Arabidopsis thaliana: one gene and its partners. Each later gene encodes a partner of the first gene's protein in a complex. Each region holds a gene or a part of one and is shown in the gene's direction. Other genes may lie near its edges. The genes, in order: NdhM, ndhJ, ndhK and PnsL4.

The links.
Region 2: the proteins of NdhM (region 1) and ndhJ are in contact, whole or in part, in a cryo-EM structure (PDB 7WFG), measured with the Arabidopsis thaliana proteins. Residues at the interface, in NP_001031804.1 of Arabidopsis thaliana: Thr156 (codon at 6,101), Glu157 (codon at 6,104), Tyr158 (codon at 6,107), Arg161 (codon at 6,116), Leu162 (codon at 6,119), Ser165 (codon at 6,128), Glu168 (codon at 6,137), His169 (codon at 6,140), Arg172 (codon at 6,149), Ser192 (codon at 6,209), Met193 (codon at 6,212), Gly194 (codon at 6,215); in NP_051062.1 of Arabidopsis thaliana: Pro134 (codon at 2,310), Ser136 (codon at 2,316), Trp137 (codon at 2,319), Ile138 (codon at 2,322), Pro149 (codon at 2,355), Asn150 (codon at 2,358), Phe151 (codon at 2,361), Tyr152 (codon at 2,364), Glu153 (codon at 2,367), Gln155 (codon at 2,373), Ala157 (codon at 2,379).
Region 3: the proteins of NdhM (region 1) and ndhK are in contact, whole or in part, in a cryo-EM structure (PDB 7WFG), measured with the Arabidopsis thaliana proteins. Residues at the interface, in NP_001031804.1 of Arabidopsis thaliana: Trp89 (codon at 5,816), Ser91 (codon at 5,822), Val93 (codon at 5,828), Thr94 (codon at 5,831), Arg95 (codon at 5,834), Ile104 (codon at 5,861), Asp105 (codon at 5,864), Pro106 (codon at 5,867), Glu107 (codon at 5,870), Asp117 (codon at 5,900), Lys118 (codon at 5,903), Leu119 (codon at 5,906), Thr120 (codon at 5,909), Leu121 (codon at 5,912), Ile122 (codon at 5,915), Leu123 (codon at 5,918), Asp124 (codon at 5,921), Thr126 (codon at 5,927), Val130 (codon at 5,939), Trp131 (codon at 5,942), Glu151 (codon at 6,002), Ala153 (codon at 6,092), Pro154 (codon at 6,095), Leu155 (codon at 6,098), Arg161 (codon at 6,116), Gln181 (codon at 6,176), Tyr182 (codon at 6,179), Asn183 (codon at 6,182), Met184 (codon at 6,185), Asp185 (codon at 6,188); in NP_051063.1 of Arabidopsis thaliana: Ser3 (codon at 2,451), Ile4 (codon at 2,454), Lys5 (codon at 2,457), Phe6 (codon at 2,460), Pro7 (codon at 2,463), Met83 (codon at 2,691), Pro87 (codon at 2,703), Val90 (codon at 2,712), Arg91 (codon at 2,715), Tyr101 (codon at 2,745), Val126 (codon at 2,820), Asp127 (codon at 2,823), Lys128 (codon at 2,826), Leu129 (codon at 2,829), Ile130 (codon at 2,832), Pro131 (codon at 2,835), Val132 (codon at 2,838), Asp133 (codon at 2,841), Tyr135 (codon at 2,847), Lys156 (codon at 2,910), Glu160 (codon at 2,922), Arg173 (codon at 2,961), Cys174 (codon at 2,964), Phe175 (codon at 2,967), Thr176 (codon at 2,970), Thr177 (codon at 2,973), Asn178 (codon at 2,976), His179 (codon at 2,979), Lys180 (codon at 2,982), Val183 (codon at 2,991).
Region 4: NdhM (region 1) and PnsL4 share a complex: the UniProt entries of both Arabidopsis thaliana proteins name them as parts of the chloroplast NDH complex.

The regions. Positions count from the first base shown.
Region 1 is NC_003075.7:17,828,992-17,837,036, reverse strand, and holds NdhM (subunit NDH-M of NAD(P)H:plastoquinone dehydrogenase complex), read left to right. Parts: upstream 1-5,417; 5' UTR 5,418-5,551; coding exon 5,552-6,004; intron 6,005-6,088; coding exon 6,089-6,289; 3' UTR 6,290-6,504; downstream 6,505-8,045. Other genes in the region: AGL21 (AGAMOUS-like 21), read left to right, coding at 276-354, 500-561, 686-785, 901-942, 1,045-1,128, 1,205-1,342; SHM1 (serine transhydroxymethyltransferase 1), read left to right, coding at 2,295-2,381, 2,488-2,538, 2,710-2,796, 2,892-3,013, 3,118-3,194, 3,274-3,398, 3,483-3,575, 3,663-3,755 and 7 more; AT4G37920 (endoribonuclease E-like protein), read left to right, coding at 6,720-6,903, 7,080-7,345, 7,437-7,602, 7,678-7,922, 7,999-8,045. UniProt on the Arabidopsis thaliana protein: NDH shuttles electrons from NAD(P)H:plastoquinone, via FMN and iron-sulfur (Fe-S) centers, to quinones in the photosynthetic chain and possibly in a chloroplast respiratory chain.
Region 2 is NC_000932.1:43,637-51,063, reverse strand, and holds ndhJ (NADH dehydrogenase subunit J), read left to right. Parts: upstream 1-1,910; coding exon 1,911-2,387; downstream 2,388-7,427. Other genes in the region: ndhC (NADH dehydrogenase subunit 3), read left to right, coding at 701-1,063; ndhK (NADH dehydrogenase subunit K), read left to right, coding at 1,130-1,807; rps4 (ribosomal protein S4), read left to right, coding at 5,236-5,841; photosystem I assembly protein Ycf3, read left to right, coding at 6,473-6,598, 7,313-7,427. UniProt on the Arabidopsis thaliana protein: NDH shuttles electrons from NAD(P)H:plastoquinone, via FMN and iron-sulfur (Fe-S) centers, to quinones in the photosynthetic chain and possibly in a chloroplast respiratory chain.
Region 3 is NC_000932.1:48,757-52,378, reverse strand, and holds ndhK (NADH dehydrogenase subunit K), read left to right. Parts: upstream 1-2,444; coding exon 2,445-3,122; downstream 3,123-3,622. Other genes in the region: atpE (ATP synthase CF1 epsilon subunit), read left to right, coding at 1-114; ndhC (NADH dehydrogenase subunit 3), read left to right, coding at 2,016-2,378; ndhJ (NADH dehydrogenase subunit J), read left to right, coding at 3,226-3,622. UniProt on the Arabidopsis thaliana protein: NDH shuttles electrons from NAD(P)H:plastoquinone, via FMN and iron-sulfur (Fe-S) centers, to quinones in the photosynthetic chain and possibly in a chloroplast respiratory chain.
Region 4 is NC_003075.7:18,422,599-18,430,223, reverse strand, and holds PnsL4 (FK506-binding protein 16-2), read left to right. Parts: upstream 1-1,645; 5' UTR 1,646-1,898; coding exon 1,899-2,246; intron 2,247-2,332; coding exon 2,333-2,425; intron 2,426-2,604; coding exon 2,605-2,665; intron 2,666-2,741; coding exon 2,742-2,810; intron 2,811-2,892; coding exon 2,893-2,975; 3' UTR 2,976-3,467; downstream 3,468-7,625. Other genes in the region: AT4G39720 (VQ motif-containing protein), read left to right, coding at 1-194, 871-909, 1,028-1,044; AT4G39700 (Heavy metal transport/detoxification superfamily protein), read right to left, coding at 5,318-5,622, 5,788-5,959. UniProt on the Arabidopsis thaliana protein: NDH shuttles electrons from NAD(P)H:plastoquinone, via FMN and iron-sulfur (Fe-S) centers, to quinones in the photosynthetic chain and possibly in a chloroplast respiratory chain.

The DNA.
Region 1 (8,045 bases):
GCTGAGTTCAAGATTATATACATTATGTGAAATGTATGTATGTGTACATATATAAGCGTGTGTAAATAATGTTGCCAATGCAGGAAAGTCTATATTGCACAAATTTCTAGGCTATGAGTTTTTTCTTTACGTATGAAAGCTTTTTAATGGAGTACTTGGAAAAACTTCACGATCGAAAATTAATATCTTTTACGTAATTTACTCTAAGAGATGATATGATATGAGTGAATTATATACCATGAACAAGGTATACTAATATTAAATATTTTGAATAGCATGAAGTCGGTTATTGATAGATACAACAAGAGCAAGATCGAGCAACAACAACTATTGAACCCCGCATCAGAAGTCAAGGTATACATATAGATATAGCGACAACTCTAAAGATATGTGATTATATATTGATTGATGCTTTAGCATGATGTTTGATTTTTGAAATGAGATTTTGGTTTACTGAGCTGTTCAAAGTTTGATGAGTTATTTGTGTTGTGTGTTACAGTTTTGGCAGAGAGAAGCTGCTGTTCTAAGACAAGAACTGCATGCTTTGCAAGAAAATCATCGGTATCGCCTTGAACTTTTATAACATTTTGTATTAAGAATTAGTCTTTGATCAAAATATAGAAGGCATGTAAAGGAAATGAAGAAACTTGTAGTTATGGATTGCGGTATGTTTGCTATGAAGCAGGCAAATGATGGGAGAACAGCTAAATGGTTTAAGTGTTAACGAGCTAAACAGTCTTGAGAATCAAATTGAGATAAGTTTGCGTGGAATTCGTATGAGAAAGGTACATAAATACATATACTCTACCTTCTATTATATGCTTTGGAGTGTATTACTCAAAAGATTGACTATAGAACACAACGGAAATCAATAGAACGATTGCTTTTCCGGATTCACAGGAACAACTGTTGACTCAAGAAATCCAAGAACTAAGCCAAAAGGTCACTATGATGAGATATATATATACACACACTGACACACACAAATATCCCCTACCAAAAGTTACAATTCTAATTTTGGGATTTTTGTTGATCGTGGTGCAGAGGAATCTTATTCATCAGGAAAACCTCGATTTATCTAGGAAAGTACAACGGATTCATCAAGAAAATGTGGAGCTCTACAAGAAGGTAACAAATCATGTTTTACAAAAACTCCATTTTCTTTGGAGTAAGAGCTTCGAAGTGATATGGCTTCGACTTTCAGGCTTATATGGCAAACACAAACGGGTTTACACACCGTGAAGTAGCTGTTGCGGATGATGAATCACACACTCAGATTCGGCTGCAACTAAGCCAGCCTGAACATTCCGATTATGACACTCCACCAAGAGCAAACGAATAACAGAGAGGTAAACTTTTTTAATTGATCTTGATGTTTCACAAACATGCATGCACCATTTAGGCATTTTATATATTTTATGTAACTCGTTAAAAACTTTCACAGATTGAAGTTGGAAGATACCATGATGTTGAAGAACACTCCAAAGGCCTTGGTTTGAATAAGGTTCTTGAACTGGAAACCTCTATACACCAAGCCACGTACGATAAGCAGCATGGTTCTTCTAACATAGTCATATTTTCAATCCTAAATATAATTAAAGCATATATAATTAAAATCCGGTGTTGTTATACTCATCTTGAGTATTAATATTGTACTTGTTTATAACCATAGATTCGTCAATTAATAGAGAAAAATCATATGAATTATTATCCTCAAAACTCTCTCAAATATCAATATTCTTAGATCAATAATTTGTTTAATATATATAACCATGCACTTGGTAATTCTAAAATGTTAAATAAACATTTTCTGTTAAGTTTTTTGTTTTGTTGGTTTTATTTTGTAAATTCACCATAATTCTGTTAATCTTATTCCCCCAAACTAACCGGTTTGGAAACTATATAAATTAAATTGATGTGTGATAACTGAATCGGTTATCGTTGACTGCACTGACCAGAAACCAATAAAGGTTCTGTCTTAAAGGGAAACAAATCATCGTCGTCACCAAATCATCACAATTCACAAAGGTTGGTGTAGACAGGGACCTGAGAGATAACGACAAAGAAACAACAAATATAAAATAAAAATCAGAAGAAAATATAAATAAAAAAAGAGGGAAAAAATTCGAAAATTTGCTGCAACCACCAAAAGCTCAGCCAAAAGCAGAGGCCACAATTCTCTCAAACAAGATAAACCCAATTTTGTTATTTTTGTTCTCTCTTCTCTCTCGTTCATGTTTCAAATCTGTTTCTAGGGTTTCACAAACCAGAGATAGAGAGAGGTTTAGCGAAAAATGGCGATGGCCATGGCTCTTCGAAGGCTTTCTTCTTCAATTGACAAACCCATTCGTCCTCTTATTCGATCCACTTCATGTTACATGGTAACAACCCTAAAGTTTCTTCCTTTTATCTCCGAATTTTATAATCGGATTGGAAATTTTCGATTTTTTTTTTTTTTTTTTCTGATTTCTGTTTGTTCCGTTGCAGTCTTCTTTGCCCAGTGAAGCTGTTGATGAGAAGGAAAGATCTCGTGTCACTGTGAGTTTAAGCGCCTTTTTGTATCTCTTGTTTGTTTATAGTTTTCCTTGTGGTTGAAGCAATGGTTTTGATTGTTGAAGTTCTATGTCTGTTTCAAATTGATGTATGGAGTTCTATTTTTGGTGTGACTGAATCTAATGAAACTTATGTCTTTGTAAACGTTCGTTTCAGTGGCCAAAACAGCTTAACGCACCTTTAGAGGAGGTTGATCCTGAGATTGCTGACATTATTGAGCATGAGAAAGCTAGACAATGGAAGGTTAGTTTGTCTCTGAGATTACTATCTCTTAAATCTTGTTCCTTGATTGATTATTATAAGTTAGGCTGATGTTTGTAACGCTTGTGTTATTATAGGGACTTGAACTTATTCCATCTGAGAACTTCACATCTGTGTCGGTGATGCAAGCTGTTGGGTCTGTCATGACTAACAAATACAGTGAAGGCTATCCTGGTGCCAGATACTATGGAGGAAATGAGTATGTTCAGGAATTTTCAATCTGACACATTTAGTTTCAGGACATGATTGCTTGACCAATCTCTGTAATAAGAATTGAAATCTCAAGTACCTTTTGCTTTGTAGGTATATAGACATGGCAGAAACCTTATGCCAGAAGCGCGCTCTTGAAGCTTTCCGGTTAGATCCTGAAAAGTGGGGAGGTAAATTACTACTTTCATGTATATGAGAAACAAGAAATCTGATTAGTCCTTTGATGGCTTATTTGACTGGATCTTACAGTGAATGTTCAACCTTTGTCTGGATCTCCTGCCAACTTCCATGTGTACACTGCATTGTTAAAGCCTCATGAAAGAATCATGGCACTTGATCTTCCTCATGGTGGTCATCTTTCTCATGGTTATCAGGTGCCTTCAAGTTAACTTTGTATGTCATTTCGGAACTCTCTGACTCTGATGAATAACAGTTTCTTTCTTCTTATTTCTCATCAGACTGACACCAAGAAGATATCAGCTGTGTCTATCTTCTTTGAAACAATGCCCTATAGATTGGACGAGAGCACTGGCTACATCGACTACGATCAGGTTCTTAACTCTTCTATTAAGCAATCATAGTAACTTATAACTAACCCGCTTCATAACAATACATAAGTCTTTAATTTTGATTTGCAGATGGAGAAAAGTGCTACTCTTTTCAGGCCAAAATTGATTGTTGCTGGTGCAAGTGCTTATGCTAGATTGTATGACTATGCCCGCATCAGAAAGGTAATTTCAGTCTCATATCCAACTACAGAACAGATTATTGTAATCAGTAGTGAGTTTTGATTCGAACTCTTTTCCCAGGTCTGTAACAAGCAAAAAGCTGTAATGCTAGCAGATATGGCACACATCAGTGGTTTGGTTGCTGCTAATGTAATCCCTTCACCGTTCGACTATGCTGATGTTGTAACCACCACAACTCACAAGTCACTTCGTGGACCCCGTGGAGCCATGATTTTCTTCAGAAAGGGTGTTAAGGAAATTAACAAGCAAGGGAAAGAGGTAAAAAAGAAAAAGAAGCAAAATTTGAACCAAAATGTTTTAGATTTATGTATAATCTTTCACGTCATTCATTTGTTGTCTTGAAAGGTTTTGTATGATTTTGAAGACAAGATCAACCAAGCTGTCTTCCCTGGTCTTCAAGGTGGTCCACACAACCACACTATCACAGGACTAGCTGTTGCTTTGAAACAGGTACGGTGAGGCACGGAATGGAACTAACGTTGCTTATTGGATTTGCGGTTTCTGTAACCTTCAAATGGTTTGAAAATGCAGGCAACTACTTCAGAGTACAAAGCATACCAAGAACAAGTCCTGAGTAACAGTGCAAAGTTTGCTCAGGTACTAATCCCGTGAAGGAAAGAAAAACACATATGGCGTAGTATCTACTTTGATTATATCTCTACATTGTTGTTTCGTGCAGACTCTAATGGAGAGAGGATATGAACTTGTTTCTGGTGGAACTGACAACCATCTGGTTCTAGTGAATCTAAAGCCCAAGGTCACTTGATCTTTTTTTGTATATAATCTTCTTTTATATTTCTTAGTTAAAACTCATTTTTTATTCGATTTTGTTTGCAGGGAATTGATGGATCTAGAGTTGAGAAAGTGTTGGAAGCTGTTCACATTGCATCCAACAAAAACACTGTTCCTGGAGATGTTTCTGCCATGGTTCCTGGTGGAATCAGAATGGGTAAAAATCACATTTAACCATTTTTCTTTTTGGTATTCGAATGGAGTTCTTCTTGATATCCTCTGCCATTGTTATTTTCAGGTACTCCTGCTCTCACTTCCAGAGGCTTTGTTGAGGAAGACTTTGCCAAAGTAGCTGAATACTTCGACAAAGCTGTGACAATAGCTCTCAAAGTCAAATCTGAAGCTCAAGGTTTTTACTTCTCTGATCACGATGCTATGCTTTCCGTTCTTATATACAATGATTGAACTCATTTGTTATGTTTCTAAAACCAGGAACCAAGTTGAAGGATTTCGTGTCAGCAATGGAATCCTCTTCAACCATCCAATCCGAGATTGCGAAACTGCGCCATGAAGTCGAGGAATTCGCTAAGCAGTTCCCAACAATTGGGTTTGAGAAAGAAACCATGAAGTACAAGAACTAAACTGTTTCACCCCACAAGTGTTTTCTGTTATGCTTTGAATTCCCATGGAATGTATAGATGATACATGTAAAACTCTATTTTCACGCTATGCGAAAAATAATGATCTGTTAAATTTTCTCTCTATACATCAAAAAGAAATATACTTAGACAAAAAAAACACATACAACAAAACAGTGAATTCCCTAAAGAAGATTGTCTTTAGCTCACAAGTGACTTAAGAGTAACCACAAAATACCAACAAAACGAGAAAGGGATAAATAAGAAACTAGAAGTTGGGAGAGGCTCATCCACAAGCTGTGGTCATTTCTCAACCTCATCAAATCTCTTTACAAGAATATGGTTCTGTAACCGGACAACATCTCAAAACTTGTTCTGTTTTTTTTTTTTCATTTCTTAGACAGAAAAATGGTTGCAGCATTCTCTTACACTGCCTGCACCAAGCTTTCTCTATTACATCCTTCTATGGTTGCTCAAATCCGACCAAGAACAACACAAAAGGCGTTCGTGGTGACAAATCCGGAACAAGACAGTACTCTTGAAGTACAAGAAACAGAGACACTCAAAGAAGAGCAATCAACAGAGAAGATGAAGAAGCAGCCAACACCATTGAGACCAGTGGAGAAACAGCTGAACGTGAAGAGCAAGGGTATGGGCGATTTTGGTGGTCAGTGGCTAAGCAGTGTCACACGTCACGTTAGGATCTACGCTGCTTATATTGATCCAGAGACTTGTGAGTTTGACCAGTCACAAATGGATAAACTCACTTTGATTCTTGATCCTACTGAAGAATTTGTGTGGGATGATGAAAGCTGTAACAAGGTCTATTCTTATTTCCAAGAACTCGTCGATCACTACGAGGTAACGATAACAATAAACGAACGAAACATTCATCTAAAAGTTAGACTCATTTCAAGAAGACCTTATAATATTGTTTTTGAACAGGGAGCACCATTAACGGAGTACACATTGAGATTGATAGGATCGGACGTAGAACATTACATAAGGAAGATGTTGTTCGATGGAGAAATACAATACAATATGGATGCAAGAGTTCTTAATTTCAGTATGGGAAAGCCTCGTGTACAATTCAATACCAGTAACATTGAAGGTGGTGGAGATGGTCAGCCTCAAGAGGACGCTTAGTGAAACAAACTCTATTTTATAATCATGTAATGGGAATATAAATATATTGTAGTATGCTTTTTAATTTTGTCTATCACAAAGTAACATATGTATATATCATGACATATGCTATAATTATTTTTGTAATAATCAATCTTAAGTTTCTTTGTCTTTTCTTGTTAATGTAAGGTCTTAAGGTCATGTGAATATGTAATGTCAAAGAAACTCAATTCTGGTCTTGCTCATTCATGTTCCTTACTCCTTGCCTCTTTTTAAAAAGATTTCAAACTGATGCAAAACTTGTTAGTTTTAACATTTTTACCCAAAAAGTTATATTAAGTTTTTGAATTTGTCAACGTTTACTAATTATTTACAATTAAAACCCTGTTCTTCTTATCCTCTGGTGTTTCTCGTTGTTCGTCACCAAGACGAACTTTGTGAGGGAGAAAAAATGGCGAATTTACTGGAAACATCAATCTTTTTCTCCTCTGCTGATAAATTACTGTCTTTCCCGCCTAAGAATTCTCAAACCCATCATCTCCCTTTCTCTGCTTTCATCAATGGAGGAAGAAAGATACGCAAAAGCTCAACTATCACCTTTGCTACCGACACTGTCACTTACAATGGCACTACAAGTAAGCTCATAAACCCTAAATCTCTAATCTTTCTGTCTAATTACCAATAAATTCTATTTCTTTAGATTCCAATTTGTATTAATTGTCACCATTAGATAAGCTAAACCCTTTTCATAGACTAGGATTCGTCTAGTTAGAGAAGCTTTTTTTATTGAAGATAGAAATTTTGTGTTTAGGTGCGGAAGTAAAAAGCTCTGTTGAGGATCCAATGGAAGTTGAGGTTGCTGAAGGTTACACTATGGCTCAGTTTTGTGACAAGATTATTGATCTCTTCTTGAATGAGAAACCTAAAGTTAAACAATGGAAGACGTATTTGGTTTTAAGAGATGAATGGAACAAGTACAGTGTTAATTTCTATAAGCGTTGCAGAATCCGAGCTGATACCGAAACTGATCCTATATTGAAGCAGAAACTGGTATCTTTGGAAAGTAAAGTCAAGAAGGTATTTATAGTGTTGTATTTTGTGTTTATTAGTGAACTCAGGTTAGTTTATTGTTGTTGTTGTGTACTTATAGGAGTGAGTATTGTTGCAGATAGATAAGGAAATGGAGAAACACAATGACCTTTTGAAGGAGATTCAAGAAAACCCAACAGACATAAACGCAATCGCTGCCAAGAGACGCAGAGACTTTACGGGAGAGTTTTTCCGCTATGTTACTTTGTTATCAGAAACTCTTGATGGCTTGGAAGACCGAGATGGTACTTAAAACATTAATCATGTTGCTTACTTATTGATTCCCACAGTTTCATGATTGTTTTGTTATTTTTGAGCAGCTGTTGCGAGGCTTGCAACTAGATGTTTATCTGCTGTGAGTGCTTATGACAACACGTTGGAGAGTGTTGAGACTCTAGATACTGCTCAAGCAAAGTTTGAAGATATTTTAAACTCTCCATCCGTGGATTCTGCTTGCGAAAAGATCAGAAGTTTAGCCAAGGCAAAGGAGCTTGATTCCTCATTGATCTTATTGATCAACAGTGCATACGCTGCTGCAAAAGAGTCTCAAACTGTTACGAACGAGGTAATAGCCATTGGATTACAATCTTCTTTAATATTCTTCACAATCTTCTCAAATCGATATCGTATTTTTTGAACAGGCTAAAGACATAATGTATCATTTATACAAAGCTACAAAGAGCAGTCT
Region 2 (7,427 bases), on another chromosome or scaffold:
ACCATAAGTCCTGGGGATCGTTCAGAATAAAACGGAAAATTTCATTTTATTTCAATGGAGCCAATCACTATCTATCGATATATCGAGATAGATACTTAATTTATAATTTAGAATAAACCTTTTTCTTCATTAATTTTCATAGTTGTAATTTTTTTATATGAATTTTCCTCGTTCACTAGCTACAATCAAAAAGTTCATAATACTTTCTTTTTTTTTTTGTATCCCCACTCAATCTTGGTTACTTTTTTTATCACACGGCCTTGTTTAAAAATAAAAAAAGAAATCTAATTAAATTCAACCAAAATTCAATCTATCTAATACTAAGTAAGATGAGTATGGTAAAGTCTTACTGGATTTTTTGATACGTCATCATTTAAAAAACGAAGAGATTTTTCGAAAAATTTTTTTAAACATAAACAGAAATAAAAAAAATTACTAGTTATTAATCAGATTAATATTATATTATTATATTAGAAACTATTAGTAATAGAAACATGGAACTATTAAGTAATAAGTGTACTGAAAATAAGAAATCAATAAATCTTAAAACGAGACGTCTACCACAACAACCAAACGAAAAAAAATGATTCGATTAACCTGAATTTTTGTTTTGACTCAAGAGTTCTATATCCCTTGCCCAATCCACTCCGATTGGAATTGACTAAGCGGGTATTTTTTCCACATTCATAGGAGTTCGTCTATGTTTCTGCTTTACGAATATGATATTTTCTGGGCATTTTTACTAATATCAAGTGCTATTCCTGTTTTGGCATTTCTAATTTCCGGAGTTTTATCTCCAATTAGGAAGGGGCCGGAGAAACTTTCTAGTTATGAATCAGGTATAGAACCGATCGGGGATGCTTGGTTACAATTTAGAATCCGTTATTATATGTTTGCTCTAGTTTTTGTTGTTTTTGATGTTGAAACTGTTTTTCTGTATCCGTGGGCAATGAGTTTCGATGTACTGGGGGTATCTGCTTTTATAGAAGCTTTCATTTTCGTGCTTATCCTAATTCTTGGTTTAGTTTATGCATGGCGAAAAGGAGCATTGGAATGGTCTTAGTTCGTTTACCGAATACTTGATACAATAATAAAAAAAAAAAAAGTAAAAAAAACCATTGAAACAATTATGAATTCCATTAAGTTTCCCATACTTGATCGAACAACAAAAAATTCCGTTATTTCAACTACGTTAAATGATCTTTCAAATTGGTCAAGACTTTCCAGCCTATGGCCGCTTCTTTATGGTACCAGTTGTTGTTTCATTGAATTTGCCTCATTAATAGGCTCCCGATTTGACTTTGATCGTTATGGGTTAGTACCAAGATCGAGTCCTAGACAGGCGGACCTTATTTTAACAGCAGGTACAGTAACAATGAAAATGGCTCCTTCTTTAGTGCGATTATATGAACAAATGCCTGAACCGAAGTATGTTATTGCTATGGGAGCCTGTACAATTACAGGGGGGATGTTCAGTACCGATTCTTATAGTACTGTTCGAGGAGTTGATAAGCTAATTCCTGTAGATGTCTATTTGCCGGGTTGTCCACCTAAACCAGAGGCTGTTATAGACGCTATAACAAAGCTTCGTAAGAAAATAGCTAGAGAAATCTATAAGGATCGAATTAGACCTCAACAGGGTAATCGGTGTTTTACTACCAATCACAAGTTTTTTGTTGTACGCAGTCCGCATATTGGAAATTATGATCAAGAACTACTCTATCCACCATCATCTACTTCAGAGATCTCTACTGAAACATTTTTTAAATACAAAAGTCCAGTATCGTCCCACGAATTAGTGAATTAGGGAGGCTTTTAGAGAATCAGAAAAAAATCTTCATAAATTAGAATTAACGGTAAATGTGAAATACTTAATTTTATATAAAAAAGGTGTGGGGGAAATAAAAAAGATGCAGGGCACTTTGTCCGTTTGGCTAGCCAAACGCGGGCTGGTTCATAGATCGTTGGGCTTCGATTATCAAGGAATAGAGACTTTACAAATAAAGCCCGAAGATTGGCATTCTATTGCTGTAATTTTATATGTATATGGTTACAATTATTTACGTTCGCAATGTGCCTATGATGTGGCACCAGGTGGCCTCTTAGCCAGCGTGTATCATCTTACGAGAATAGAATATGGTGTTAATCAAGCGGAAGAAGTCTGCATAAAAGTATTTACTCACAGGAGTAATCCTAGAATTCCATCCGTTTTCTGGGTTTGGAAAAGTACGGATTTTCAAGAACGGGAATCTTATGATATGTTAGGAATCACTTATGATAGCCATCCACGACTGAAACGGATCCTAATGCCCGAGAGTTGGATAGGGTGGCCTTTACGTAAGGATTATATTGCCCCCAATTTTTATGAAATACAAGATGCTTATTGAATGATAAAAAATGAGCCAATAGGATGAACTAAAAAAAAAGAGTTCTGCATTATGAACTTTGTATCGCGCACATAACTTAGTCAACTTTAGTCACATAACTGGGAATGAATAAATAAGATCGGAAAGCAATAAATGAAGGGGGGGATACAATTCTATTTCTATTGTATCTAATGAACCTTGGGGTATTTTTGCCCTTCAACTATAGTATACTATACATATAGACCTTTTTTTACTTGTTTGATTCAACGGAACTCATTTAACCTTTCCTTTCGGATATGTATTATGTATCAAGTATTATACATTCTTTTTGAACGGCTGGATTCACAACATGAACAAAAAAAAGAGAGGGGATAAAGCATAATTGCACTTTTTTTACTAAAGATACGTTTAATTTGAAGAATAAAAACTTATCAAAATTAATAAATCCTCTGCCAAGAACCAGATTTGAACTGGTGACACGAGGATTTTCAGTCCTCTGCTCTACCAACTGAGCTATCCCGGCGAAGGATCATCCTCGTTTTACGAATGGTGGCACAACGATTTCAAGTCCCCCGGAAAAAAGCTATGTCCACCATTAGTCTACTGAAGTATCAAGTATCATCTACTGAAGTATCATGCTCGTTTTCCTAATGGTGACACGAGGATTTCGAGTCCTCTGCAAAAAAGCTATGTCTACCTTTACTGAAGGATCATTATCATGTGACACAGGGATTTTAAGTCCCCCGCAATTAAGCTATGCCGACCATTACTGAGGTATCATCTACTGAAGTATCATCTTGCTTTTACTAATGGTGACATAAGGATTTTCAGTCCTCTACTAATGGTGACATAAGGATTTTCAGTCCTCTGCAACTAAGCTATGTCGACCATTACCGAAGGATCATCTTGCTTTTACTAATGGTGACACAAGGATTTTCAGTCCCCCGCAATTAAGCTATGTGTACCATTACCGAAGTATAATCTACTGAAGTATCAGTATCATTTTAATATATGACTTAGGTCTATGTCAATGAAAAGAAACTCAAAAGTAGTAAATTCAAAAAGTTGTGGACCGGGAATTTCTTGGATTTTATAAATAAAAGAAGACTTTCTAAGTTTGAAAATGAAAAATGATATAGATTATAAATAATTCAAATAAATAATAACGAAAAAAAGGTAAGGTGTCAACCTTTTCGGGGAGTAGAGCTGGGGATAGAGGGACTTGAACCCTCACGATTTTAAAAGTCAACGGATTTTCATCTTACTATAAATTTCATTGTTGTCAGTATTGACATGTAAAATGGGACTCTATCTTTATTCTCGTCCGATTAATTAAGTTCCATCAAGGATCTATCAGACTATGAAGTGAATAATTTTATTTTAATCAAGAAATATTATTTCTTAAACTTCGAATTGATTCACAACATTTTGATTTTGTTTATAAAAAAATAGAAATCGAGATTCAGGTCGTCATTTTTGAGATCGTTTTGTGTTACCTAAATTTATACAATATAGGTTTTTATCCTTCATCCTTTTTGATTTGAAGTTTCGATCGAAGGATTCCTTTATGAACACAAGGTAGTGAACTCCATTTGTTAGAACAGCTTCCATTGAGTCTCTGCACCTATCCCTTTTTTCGCGCTTTGTAAACTCCGGTTTGTTCGCGTAAACCAGGATTTGGCTCAGGATTGCCCATTGTTAATTCCAGGGTTTCTCTGAATTTGAAAGTTATCACTTAGTAGGTTTCCATACCAAGGCTCAATCCAATTAAGTCCGTAGCGTCTACCAATTCCGCCATATCCCCTTTTTTAGGATCTCATTATGATGTCTTTCCTTTTTTTTCTTATGCCGAAACCTCGGGATTCATTACATTATAGATACTTATTTTATGTCTTTGTTATCTTCTTTTATTTTTTTGAGCTCCATCCATATTGATTTAGTCTAATCAACAAAGATTCTATCATTTTTGTATTTGCAATTCAATATGGTTATATATTACATAACATATATATGTTCTTTTTTTTTTCATCTTTGGCTTAAATTTTCAGAAATAGTCGAACGGTCGATTCTTTTTTTTTTTTTTACTTTCATGAAAAGAAATTTATTATTATTATTATTGAAACTTAGAATTCTACAATGTGCAATGGAAAAAAATTATAAGTCTACTTCGTAAATTTGAAATTCTAATAATTCTATACTATTCTATGACTATATAGATATATATATAGAATTAAGGTTATGTTTTATTTATTTAATGATGAATGATAGTCACTATTTATGTGAGCTATATTCTGTTCTAGAATATATAGAATATCATTAATTCTAACTAGATAAGGAAAAATATTAATAGAATAGTTAATTGATACGATCTAGTAGTTTAGTGAATTTGTATGCATGCGCTATTTTATTTGAGCCCGCTTAGCTCAGAGGTTAGAGCATCGCATTTGTAATGCGATGGTCATCGGTTCGATTCCGATAGCCGGCTTTTCCATATTTTTTCGTTTTTTTTTACATGATTTTTAATGTACTTTCAAAATCAAAGAAGATTGAAAAGACTTCTTTGACCTTTTTCCAAGAGTTACCACTCCATTTATATTATGTCATATAAACTTCCATATTAGGAATATATATTGGGTAAAAGAGTTTGATCTTTGCAAAATTAATCAAGAAAATAAAGGAAAATTTTTGTGATTTAGTTGATTTATATATATTGTATATACAATAAAAAAAATCTGTATATTGAGAGAATATATCTTCTTACTCTTTGTATTCCAATAGTGGAGTGTATTTCACGTCATTTATCATTATCATTTAGTTCAGTTTTAATTTTATTTAGTTTTGTACAATTTCAATCAAAAAAGGAGTCTTTATGTCACGTTACCGAGGGCCTCGTTTTAAAAAAATACGCCGTCTGGGGGCTTTACCGGGACTAACTAGTAAAAGGCCTAAGGCAGGAAGCGATCTTAGAAACCAATCACGCTCCGTAAAAAAATCTCAATATCGTATTCGTTTAGAAGAAAAACAAAAATTGCGTTTTCATTATGGTCTTACAGAACACCAATTACTTAAATATGTGCGTATAGCCGGAAAAGCCAAGGGGTCAACAGGTCAAGTTTTACTACAATTACTTGAAATGCGTTTGGATAACATCCTTTTTCGATTGGGTATGGCTTTGACTATTCCTCAAGCGCGCCAATTAGTTAATCATGGACATATTTTAGTTAATGGTCGTATAGTTGATATACCAAGTTATCGCTGCAAACCCCGAGATATTATTACAGTGAAGGATGAACAAAACTCTAGAACTTTGGTTCAAAATCTTCTTGATTCATCTGCCCCTGAGGAATTGCCAAACCATCTGACTCTTCACACATTCCAATATGAAGGGTTAGTCAATCAAATAATAGATAGGAAATGCGTCGGTTTGAAAATAAATGAATTGCTTGTCGTAGAATATTACTCTCGACAGACTTAATAAACCTAACTTAAGTAAAAAAAAAAATTACTAAAAACAAGAGTTCGGACAACTCCCCTTTTCCATTAAAAATAAAAAGGCACAAGGTAAGGGATTTTGTCAAAGAATATTTTTCCTATTCATGTATCATAGATTGGTAGGGAGATTGGGATCCCTTGTTTGCTCTTCCCAGCATTTTCCATATGAAAGAAATTAGGAATAGAGAATCTATTTCAAAATCAAAACAAGGTAGATCTTATATCGATTCTTTTTTATTGGATTTGATACATTGTGGTCAATCACGTAAGATTGGTGAATTTGTTGAAAGTACGGAAAGAGAGGGATTCGAACCCTCGGTAAACAAAAGTCTACATAACAGTTCCAATGTTACGCCTTCAACCACTCGGCCATCTCTCCGACATCAAGATTATGACTGAGTATCTGGGTGAATAGCGAGTTATTCATCGTTTTTTAGATTATGGTTAATAGATACCCTTTTTGACCGGAAAATTTGGAAGTAGATAGAAGGTTTTTTTTAATGAGTCCGCTTTTATGTTAGTTCGTACTATACAATTCCTTTGTTTGTGAGAAAATTTTCTCACAAAAGAAAAGGTAAAGGAAATAAAAAGAGTTAGAGAATGGATTACTACCTATGCCAAGATCGCGTATAAATGGAAATTTTATTGATAAAACCTTTACAATTGTAGCCGATATCTTATTACGAGTCATTCCGACAACTTCCGGAGAAAAAGAGGCATTTACTTATTACAGAGATGGTGCGATTTGATTATCATTATTTTTTTTCTCGCCGATTTTGATTGGAATAGAAAGAAAAACGAGTATTGAAAAAAAATCTACGCTTTTGAAGGTGAAGTTTATAATATAAAAAAAACAATCCCTTCTGTCATGTATCCACGATTAATGCAGCCTTAGATGCTTCAATTGTGAATTATAGTATTGAGCAAAAGGTTTTTACCTATGGTTCCCGTATTACAGATCAATCCTACTACACTAATACAATATACGAATAGGAGGCATAGGGGAAGAAGCACTACGCCGAGAAATCAACAACACGAAAACTTTCTTAAAAATGATTCCCTTTCTTCTTCTTCGTTGGGATTGGGACTAATTAAAATGGTTGGAACAATAAACATCCATCTCGTTCGTATTTTGGATACCCGTATAACCATTGAAGACTGTTGAAGTGACTAATTCCTGGAAACTTAGGGGCGTTGAGAACAAAGAAATTTTTAGAGTTTCCTTTTTTATTTTTATCTAGCATGAACCCACTTGGTAGTAAGAAAAGATCTTTTGCAAGAAGGTTGGCTAGGGATTTCTTGTAAAAACATTAGCCCCGCTTAGTTCATAATGACATCACATTTTTACATATATTATTTTCATTATGCACCTAAAGGAGGAGCCGTATGAGATGAAAATCTCACATACGGTTCTGAAACGGAGAGTTCGTTAAAGCGAATGACGACCGTAACGGATGTCGGCTCAATCTGAAGGAAATTATGCGGAAGCATTACAGAATTATTATGAAGCTATGCGACTAGAAATTGACCCCTATGATCGAAGTTATATACTCTATAATATAGGCCTTA
Region 3 (3,622 bases), on another chromosome or scaffold:
CTTGAAATAGCAGAAGCTAACTTGAGAAAAGCTGAAGGTAAGAGACAGACAATTGAGGCTAATCTAGCTCTCAGACGAGCTCGGACACGAGTCGAGGCTCTCAATACGATTTGATTTTGTAACTAGCTGACGTGTAAAAAAAAAGAATGTATAAAAAAAATAGGATCGAAAGACGATAAAAACAATAAAATAAAAAAAGCTGGTTACAAAAACTTATTAGACACCATTGATCATGGTGTCTAATAAGTTATACCTACTATTGGATTTGAACCAATGACTCCTGCCGTATGAAAGCAATACTCTAACCACTGAGTTAAGTAGGTTATTTATCATTGTAAAGAGAAGGAAAGGGGATACCTATCACATCGATAGGATTATAAATCCAATATTATTTCTAAGCAATACCAATAAACAATGAGATCAAAGAGATATAATGTTCGATCATGTAATATTAATCTTGACAAGAAATTATCTACATGATAAGATAAAATGTGTATCACAAACACAAGGGCTATAGCTCAGTTAGGTAGAGCACCTCGTTTACACGTGCGCCAAAGTTTTTCAGAGGAGTCCATCACGCAATCAAACTAATTGATTGATCTTATTAAGAAATCGATGTCTTACTCCATGACTTTTTTTTAGGAAAAAAGAGGAGAACAACAGCCTGACATTAGGTCCTATTAAAGTACCCCGTTAGGTAGGGAATGAATAGAACCCATCATTGATTTGAGATATTGATAGGGTGAATACCCAGTCTACTCAATGCTAGGTAGAATGAGTATAAGGAACTCAAAAATGATCTTTTCGTCCTATGAACCTTAAGGTGTATCAAGTTTCATGTTTGATTTTTTAATCAGGATGTTAGAGACTATATTTAACTTAAGTTGATCTAGACCAAAAGCAAACCTACGTCAAGAGAACCCTTCTTTGAAACACTTTGGTAGTTCTTCTGTATTGTATTAGAATTCAAAAATAATCAATCAGAGTACTTGGAACCATTTCTTATCTTTTTTTTAAGAAAAAATATGGTAGACTAACTGATCTTTCGATCAGTTAATGAAAGAGCCCAATGCAAAAAAAAATGCATGTTGGGTCTTTGAAAGAGTTCGAATCATTTTGATAATAATAAGTTCGAACTCTTTTACCGAGCAGGTCTACGGTTCGAGTCCGTATAGCCCTAACTAAGAAATTTATTCTAAAAAATCACATTAAAATCAAAATAATTGGATAAATTTTTTTACTTTTTTTTGTATTCTTTATTTCTAACAGGTTACTTTTAATTGCTCGGTTCATAAAAAAAATTTCCATATCATAAACCATAAGTCCTGGGGATCGTTCAGAATAAAACGGAAAATTTCATTTTATTTCAATGGAGCCAATCACTATCTATCGATATATCGAGATAGATACTTAATTTATAATTTAGAATAAACCTTTTTCTTCATTAATTTTCATAGTTGTAATTTTTTTATATGAATTTTCCTCGTTCACTAGCTACAATCAAAAAGTTCATAATACTTTCTTTTTTTTTTTGTATCCCCACTCAATCTTGGTTACTTTTTTTATCACACGGCCTTGTTTAAAAATAAAAAAAGAAATCTAATTAAATTCAACCAAAATTCAATCTATCTAATACTAAGTAAGATGAGTATGGTAAAGTCTTACTGGATTTTTTGATACGTCATCATTTAAAAAACGAAGAGATTTTTCGAAAAATTTTTTTAAACATAAACAGAAATAAAAAAAATTACTAGTTATTAATCAGATTAATATTATATTATTATATTAGAAACTATTAGTAATAGAAACATGGAACTATTAAGTAATAAGTGTACTGAAAATAAGAAATCAATAAATCTTAAAACGAGACGTCTACCACAACAACCAAACGAAAAAAAATGATTCGATTAACCTGAATTTTTGTTTTGACTCAAGAGTTCTATATCCCTTGCCCAATCCACTCCGATTGGAATTGACTAAGCGGGTATTTTTTCCACATTCATAGGAGTTCGTCTATGTTTCTGCTTTACGAATATGATATTTTCTGGGCATTTTTACTAATATCAAGTGCTATTCCTGTTTTGGCATTTCTAATTTCCGGAGTTTTATCTCCAATTAGGAAGGGGCCGGAGAAACTTTCTAGTTATGAATCAGGTATAGAACCGATCGGGGATGCTTGGTTACAATTTAGAATCCGTTATTATATGTTTGCTCTAGTTTTTGTTGTTTTTGATGTTGAAACTGTTTTTCTGTATCCGTGGGCAATGAGTTTCGATGTACTGGGGGTATCTGCTTTTATAGAAGCTTTCATTTTCGTGCTTATCCTAATTCTTGGTTTAGTTTATGCATGGCGAAAAGGAGCATTGGAATGGTCTTAGTTCGTTTACCGAATACTTGATACAATAATAAAAAAAAAAAAAGTAAAAAAAACCATTGAAACAATTATGAATTCCATTAAGTTTCCCATACTTGATCGAACAACAAAAAATTCCGTTATTTCAACTACGTTAAATGATCTTTCAAATTGGTCAAGACTTTCCAGCCTATGGCCGCTTCTTTATGGTACCAGTTGTTGTTTCATTGAATTTGCCTCATTAATAGGCTCCCGATTTGACTTTGATCGTTATGGGTTAGTACCAAGATCGAGTCCTAGACAGGCGGACCTTATTTTAACAGCAGGTACAGTAACAATGAAAATGGCTCCTTCTTTAGTGCGATTATATGAACAAATGCCTGAACCGAAGTATGTTATTGCTATGGGAGCCTGTACAATTACAGGGGGGATGTTCAGTACCGATTCTTATAGTACTGTTCGAGGAGTTGATAAGCTAATTCCTGTAGATGTCTATTTGCCGGGTTGTCCACCTAAACCAGAGGCTGTTATAGACGCTATAACAAAGCTTCGTAAGAAAATAGCTAGAGAAATCTATAAGGATCGAATTAGACCTCAACAGGGTAATCGGTGTTTTACTACCAATCACAAGTTTTTTGTTGTACGCAGTCCGCATATTGGAAATTATGATCAAGAACTACTCTATCCACCATCATCTACTTCAGAGATCTCTACTGAAACATTTTTTAAATACAAAAGTCCAGTATCGTCCCACGAATTAGTGAATTAGGGAGGCTTTTAGAGAATCAGAAAAAAATCTTCATAAATTAGAATTAACGGTAAATGTGAAATACTTAATTTTATATAAAAAAGGTGTGGGGGAAATAAAAAAGATGCAGGGCACTTTGTCCGTTTGGCTAGCCAAACGCGGGCTGGTTCATAGATCGTTGGGCTTCGATTATCAAGGAATAGAGACTTTACAAATAAAGCCCGAAGATTGGCATTCTATTGCTGTAATTTTATATGTATATGGTTACAATTATTTACGTTCGCAATGTGCCTATGATGTGGCACCAGGTGGCCTCTTAGCCAGCGTGTATCATCTTACGAGAATAGAATATGGTGTTAATCAAGCGGAAGAAGTCTGCATAAAAGTATTTACTCACAGGAGTAATCCTAGAATTCCATCCGTTTTCTGGGTTTGGAAAAGTACGGATTTTCAAGAACGGGAATCTTATGATATGTTAGGAATCACTTATGATAGCCATCCACGACTGAAACGGATCCTAA
Region 4 (7,625 bases), 600 kb from region 1:
GGATATGAATCTGCAAGCTCTTCTTCAAGCTCATATTTCAAACCCTAGAAGCAATGAGCACGATCAGTTTGGTCTTGGTATGATGCAGACTCCATCTACTAATCCTCCTACTACAACGGCAGCGGCTAACGGGAACATAAACACCGGTGATAATGGAAGCTACGGTGGCTCCGATCATGAACATAATAATGACGGTACTTGGTTATCTTCGTCTTCCGACCAGAGAACATAAATATATTTATGTATAGTCCAAGTCCGAAATCAAAGCTAATCTCTTGACATGATTACTCAACAAATTAAACATAGCACATATAGCATGATGAAGTTACTCGTTTATATATTCTATATTTCAGTATAAACCACTTTAAAACTTTTTTCGTGTAGGGTTTGTTAATTATTTAATACTTAATTAATATGCTTGTTATTTGTTAATCTTAGTTTTTTCCATAACTATATGTTGGTAAGTATTAGTTAGTAGATGGATCTCACCATTTGAATCAGATTTTCTTGGTATATTTTCTTATAATTATATAGAACTTTTAAATTTTAATGACAACGATGACTTGCGATATGAAATTTTAATTTTTCAACAATCAATATACAGTACGTGGTTTTGGGATCACTACGGTTAATATTTCTCCTAATTAATATTGGAGTGAATGGTGGCGAAATTTGGGGAATCTTCCACGGCCGCCGGATTGTGGAATATGGTTTTGGGACCATAGTATATAATTATTAATTAATTATAGACTTGTGGTGATTTGAAATTTGATAAATTACTGTTCTCCCATGTGCTTATTCATTTTTGGTGTATCATCTACATTAACGTCAATTTTTATTGACTTGACTCTCATTTTACCATACCAACAGATTTGAAATTTGAAAATTTCCCAAGCAAAAGAAAAACAGGTAATCAATAATGATAATTATACATACATTTTGGTTTTGACCTACTTTTGTCATATGACAATTTATCTTTATAGACACTTTTACTTCTATTATTATAAGTCTCTTTGTTTGTGAATAGGGGCAAATTTCATTTGACCGCCTCCGACAACCATTGACCTTGTCACGGCTCTGAATGTGATGCGTCTACAAAATTCCTAACTTTTTTCAGTCTTCTCATTAACCAATCAATCGTTAGAATATTCAGCTTAATTTATATCTCTTTCTAGTCTCTAGCTTAACAACACTTCAGAATGAAATGTCAGTTCTTTGTAAGCGGGGTTTTCAATAATATCATTTGCTACTGTATAGTATAATAGTAACTCTTAAAAATAATAATTCTTGTTTTTCACAATAAGATTTGATGATGGATTGATGGTCGCAAAACAAATAATGACATTTGATGAAAAATCTTTTGCTTGTTCTTGTGTATACAAAAGTTCAAATGATTTTGATATTTTTTTGTCCACGGACCAGTTACACTTAAGTCACCAATGCACTGTATAACCTATACACATCACTTACATAAACTATCAACAATGTGCATATATGTGTATCTCTATCTAAATGGAATATATAATAATGGGTGATGATGATGGTTTAATATTATGGTGGTGGTTATGGTGGACCATGATATCAAGCTATTGTCGCACTGATGGGTTTTCTATGTATTCAGATGATACTCGGTTTCATAGTTGAGTGATAACTAGGTCTGGCCATTATCTTACTATCCAAATAATTCGATTCGGGTTCTCAATTTTGTGGGCCGATTGGCTCCAAAAGTTTCATTATTATTTTTGTTCTGTTGAAAATAGAAATCCAAAAAAATACGGGTGGGTCCCATAATCATATCCATTGTACCGTTGCACACTCAAAAGACAAAAGATTCAGACCAAAGGCTCTGGCTTCACGCAGATAAGGAAGCAGAGATCGAAACGAAGACTCAAAGAAGAATGGCGATTTCTACTTTAACACTCACACAATCTCTCTATACACGTTCCTTCAGACCAACCATCTTCTTTTCTTCTTCTTCTTCCTCGTCCTTTTCGTGTCTCTGTTCTTCTTCCTCCGATTGCGAGCCGAAACTCTCCGTCAAGAAACGCGTTTTCGGAGTGGGTTTAGGGTTCCTAGCTTCTTCGATTCTCTCTCTAACGCCTCTGGACGCAGACGCCACGAGGATTGACTACTACGCCACTGTAGGAGATCCTCTCTGCGAATACAGCTACGCAAAATCAGGACTTGGATTTTGCGATCTCGATGTTGGATTTGGTGATGAAGCCCCTCGTGGCGTACTCGTCAATGTAATCTCTCCATCTCTCTAATTTCCTCTGTTTAGGGTTTTTGATTCAAAGTTTGAGACTTTGGAGAGTTGGTCACACACACACAGATCCATTACACGGCGAGGTTTGCAGATGGAACGTTGTTTGACAGTAGCTATAAGCGTGCAAGACCACTTACTATGCGAATTGGAGTCGGCAAGGTACAACAAAGAACCATTGTCTCTCTCTCTCTTTGTTAGCTTCCATAGTCTTCAATTGCATTGCTAGCAAAGTTCACACTTGTCTTTGTTGAAGTTAGTTAGTTTCTTATGTTCTTCTTTGTGATTAGGGTGAGCAAAACAACTATATATCTAAACTCTTGATGTCCAAAAATGATCAGGTAATTAGGGGACTAGACCAGGGGATTCTTGGAGGCGAAGGAGTACCTCCTATGCGAGTAGGCAAGTGTACTGTATTTTCCTTTGTTCAATGTCCTTTATTTGGCTGATAACATATTGGTGCGGTTTTATTTTGCAGGCGGAAAGCGTAAACTTCAGATTCCACCTAAGTTAGCTTATGGACCAGAGCCTGCAGGATGCTTTTCTGGTACTTGCACAATTCCTCTGTAACAGTTTCACTTGTATATGTAAGATATGTATCTCGAGTAATAAATCGACTCTTTATGCAGGTGACTGCAACATACCTGGCAATGCAACTTTGCTCTATGATATCAACTTTGTTGAGATCTACCCAGGAAGTAATACAAGATGAAGCCAACTCCAATCCCGTTTGGTAAAGGAACAAACAACTATGTATGTGATGTATATCACCAGGTGATTACTTTTGACAAGCTTCAGATTATAATTTCTGTAACCTAAAACATTGATGATTTCCAACTGAATCCAATGTCTAACCTCCTATTAAAGAACAAGACACATCTTCTCTGTGCAGATCTGTCTTTTTGTTAAGTTATGACCTTGGAAAATCATATACTTGCATAAATGTATAAGCGCGTGTTAGGTTAGATTCAGTCTTGGTAAGTGATGCAGCTTGTGTCACAAAGATGTACAGAGTCTAGAATAAAGTTGTGTGATGTGGTTTTTCATCGGTGTCATATCTCTGTAATTGGTCCCCTCACAACAACTCATGAATCTTAAGGCCAAAAAAAGTGTAAAACTTTGGTTCTTGCCTACTTGAGCATGTTGAAAATACATAAGACAAATCTTCATTTTTCGATTTTCCAGGAAAAACACAGTGCATGAGCTAATTTACAGCGTACCGGAGGTTCTTAAAGGCTGATGTTAGGCCATCCTCAATGGAGGGTTCTAAGATAAATGAGGTTTTTAAAGAAATCATATATATGAAAGTTGGCCAACTCTCTCCATATGGGTGACACATCATCACATAAGAAAATATCATGTGTCATTTAATATTGATTAAATTAAAATTAGCAAAATTAATTGAGAGAAAATAAAAAATCTCATATTGTGTTAAATCCTCCATTAATTCATTTCTTAAATGATTTTTTCAAAATATAAATATAAATAAAATTACTTATTTAAATAAATCAATTACTACTTTTATTTTACTTTTATTATTTTTTATTTTTAAAAATTTTAATGGTCAATGGTCATCACTCTATAATGACTAAATAGTTGTTTATGTTGTAGTTTATTTGTTTGCTACCTAATATTAGTGTAGTTATTTTACCTTGATTTTTTAATTATTATTACGTTATGGTTCATATCTTATCATATGAAATTCTGTATTTTTATTTTTGTATCTTTAGGTAAGTTCGTAACATTGACATTCAATATTTTTAAGTAATAGACTTTTGAGACGTTAAACATACCACAAAATTCAAAACAAATCCATTTGTCTTATACGGCTATATGCAATAGTATAAAATCTAAAAAGTGTTACTAAAATAACTCTTTAATTTTTGCTTCTTTTTTTTCATACGAAAACTCTTGAAATCAAAATATCTTATATTCTTATTGTGTGTATTCATGATAATGAACAAATTTTAGAATTTTGGATATAAAAATAATCAGATTATACATGAAAATATATAAAAATTGATATTTAGAGTCAAAAATGAATCTAACAATAAAAATGTAAGTACATAAGATGAGTCTAATTTTACTAAGTATAAAATAACAAACAAAAAGTAAACATAAATTAGCGACAAAAATAATTAACATATTTTTATCTAAAGAATTTTTAAAACAAACCCACGCGTAGCGTGGGAATTCATCTAGTAATATAAAAATAAAAACATGGAAAGAAGAAGAGAAAAAATGAAGAGGAGCTCTTAGATAAGAGAATGAAGAGAGGTTTTTAATAATCAAGTAAACCACCTAAGCCACATGTCACTTATACATTGGTTCATTTTTTTCTTAAACTTAAAATTTATTTATATAATAATATTATAATAAAATAATCATTGTTATTGTTGTTAAGAGGTTTTTAATAAGAGCTTATTGTTGAGGATGCTCTTACTTTGTTTACACCTGAAGACTGAAGAGCAAGAATCATATCAGTAAAAATTGTTGAATAAGTCCTTTAAAATATAGTATGGTGGGGGTAGTTGTATGTATAGAAAGATTACATGACCCGTGTATGTTATGATACACAGTTTTTTTAAGCTTTATGTGATCGATCTTTACTATCCATTTTTGGATTTTTCTTTTAATAATGTATGTAAAAGAGAAAGAGAGTGGGTGAAAAGAGTTAGAATATTGGGGTCCCAAAAAACTAAACTCAAATTAAAAGACCATGAAACACCTTAACCAAAAACAAACGTCTTTGTTATTGTTTTGTAAGTTTGAAACTAGCATAGAAAAAATTAACTAGTTTCCACTTATATCTTCCAATGATAGTAAACAATGATTACTTACGATATCCAATTGATTAAGCTAATATAATACTAGATCTATATTAATATTAATAAAACATTCACTTGTAACACCAACAAAGAGCACATGCAAAAGAAGACAAAACCATGAACTAAAAGAGAACAAACACCAAAATTTATAACCCACATTTATGCATATATTACCGGCATATATTATATAAATTCCTTTATAAATTATCTAATAAATAAAAAAAAACTACATAATAGAGCAAGCATTAGGATTATCATCACTAAACAAAGAAGTATAAGAAGGGTCATCGTAGTAAACAGCCATCGTCCCGGTGGTGACGTTTGGGTCAACTTTTCTGACGTAACCAGGCGGTGCTTTCTTATCATAAGCCTGAGCTATGTACGGCTGAGCCACCAAGTTGTACGGTACGTACGGCCATATCTCGGCTTTCTTCCCCGTCGCTTTAGCCTTCTTCAGCACCTTGCTCGCATCCGCATAACCACTCACTGTCACCTTCTGTTGCTTCTTGTTTATCTCCACCGTTTTCACTCCTGAAAATATATGAAGGAAGATTTTTCATGTTATATATATGCATGCATGATGATTGATGCATGTATTTATATAAGTTTTAGATAGGAGTAAGCAAACACATCTCATAAGGGACAGTAACACAAATTCGGACGAGAATTTTGATTATAAAAGAAGAAGCTAGTTACCTTTTAGAGAAGAAAGAGAGTTTTTGATTTTGAGGACACAACCATCACAATCCATCCTAACTTTGAGCTCTACTGTTTGAAACTGCTTCTTCTTCTTCCTTTTTCCATAACTATGGCTTCCTCCATTCCCTATTAGCTCTGATATATACTCCAACGTTCCCCCAACTCCCATCTTGTTGATTTTATCTTTGACTTGTGTCTTCTTTTTATCAAGAAAATTCACAGATAAAGGCGATTAGTAATGGGTATAATTCTTTTCACTCTGGCTCTCAATATGTGTTATGTGTTTGTATAGATATTTGTTTTGGTTTCAGTTTGCAATGAGTTGTTAGCTTGGTTGCCTCGACTTATAAAGGCCTTAATTTGATATTTTAATAAAGAATTACTTTTGTGTATATAATTGTATTGGTACGAAAGAAAAAGTATGTTGTTGTGTTTATAATTGACACAAATTTGGCCAACTTTATAAAAAATAGAAAAAGATGTCTTTAAGAACTTAGACCGTAAGCAATATATATGCCAATTGCCAAAGACCTTGTGGTTTAGTTAAGAAGATATTTGATGGGAAAAGTGGAACTAAAGGGATATATACGCTTTAAAACCATACTAAATTCAATCATTTAAAGTATTTTTGTAACCAATTGTTTTTTTGGTTCATATTTGTATCCAATTGTTGAACAAATGTATATATGTTACTATTTTAACTTAGCATATATACGAAGGTAAGCTTTGTAGGGAAAAGGGAATCCATGTGATGTGAATACAACTAAATCATGGAATAATAACTTTAGGTATTTTTATTTAAATCTTGTTGTTCTTCACAAGGAAGACAGAAAGAAGGTGAGAGAGCCATGCATTTATTAACGAATTCATACTAATTTATCTAAAGCATAATTAATAGTCGGTTCATTATTAAATTAATTAGGATCAATGATCAAATTTAGCAAAATTTAAAGGTGATATATAAAAATAGCAAGAACCATCGTGGAGATTTATAAAGTTAATATTTACTCACTACGAGACAGCTTCACACGTATGGGGAAGAGATCTCGAGCGTTCAATTGTATACGTGGCAATATGACGGCGCCGATTGGAATACGCGTGTGAGGCTGTCTCCTTATTGGAGGAGTTGTGCCACCTCCCCTCTCAACTTAGCTAGCTGTTTCATAGTATGTATTACATTCTCTTCACGTATTCATAATTTTACGTAATAATTCAATAGTAGATATACAAAAACTCATATAATTATCTGGAATGAAGCTAGGGAATATTTTCAACTCCTCAAAATTGAATTTGTATGTTTATTATCGTCCAGCAAATACAAATACGTACATGTAATTAAAGTCGTTCTTTTTATCTTGAATATAGGGACAATTTTGTTTCTTTCGTCTATCAATAAACAGAACTTGTCATAAATTCGAATCTTTGCCTTTTTGGTAACTCATACTAATACCAACGGTTAGCTGACATAATAAATTGTAGTTATATGTATCTATGAATATATGAAGGGGACTCCACTCGAATAATTAGTGGCAAGTTAGTTGACAAGAATTTATAAATTTTCTGTTATATATATAAAAATATAGATAAGAATATGAAGGTGACTCCTCACTCGATCGAAATAATTAGTGGTAAGTTAGCTGACAAAATTTTATAATGTTTTGGAGTTGTCGAGCAAACCTTCAACGTTCGGTACATATAATAACAAGTTTATGCACTCTATTTAAAGACTGTCGATAAGAAGTTTCCGGCAGCCGTTAGATATTTATTTAAATGTATTTCCTAACTCCTAATTGTATTTTATATGGCATCATTGGCATGATTCTATACGAGTTTAT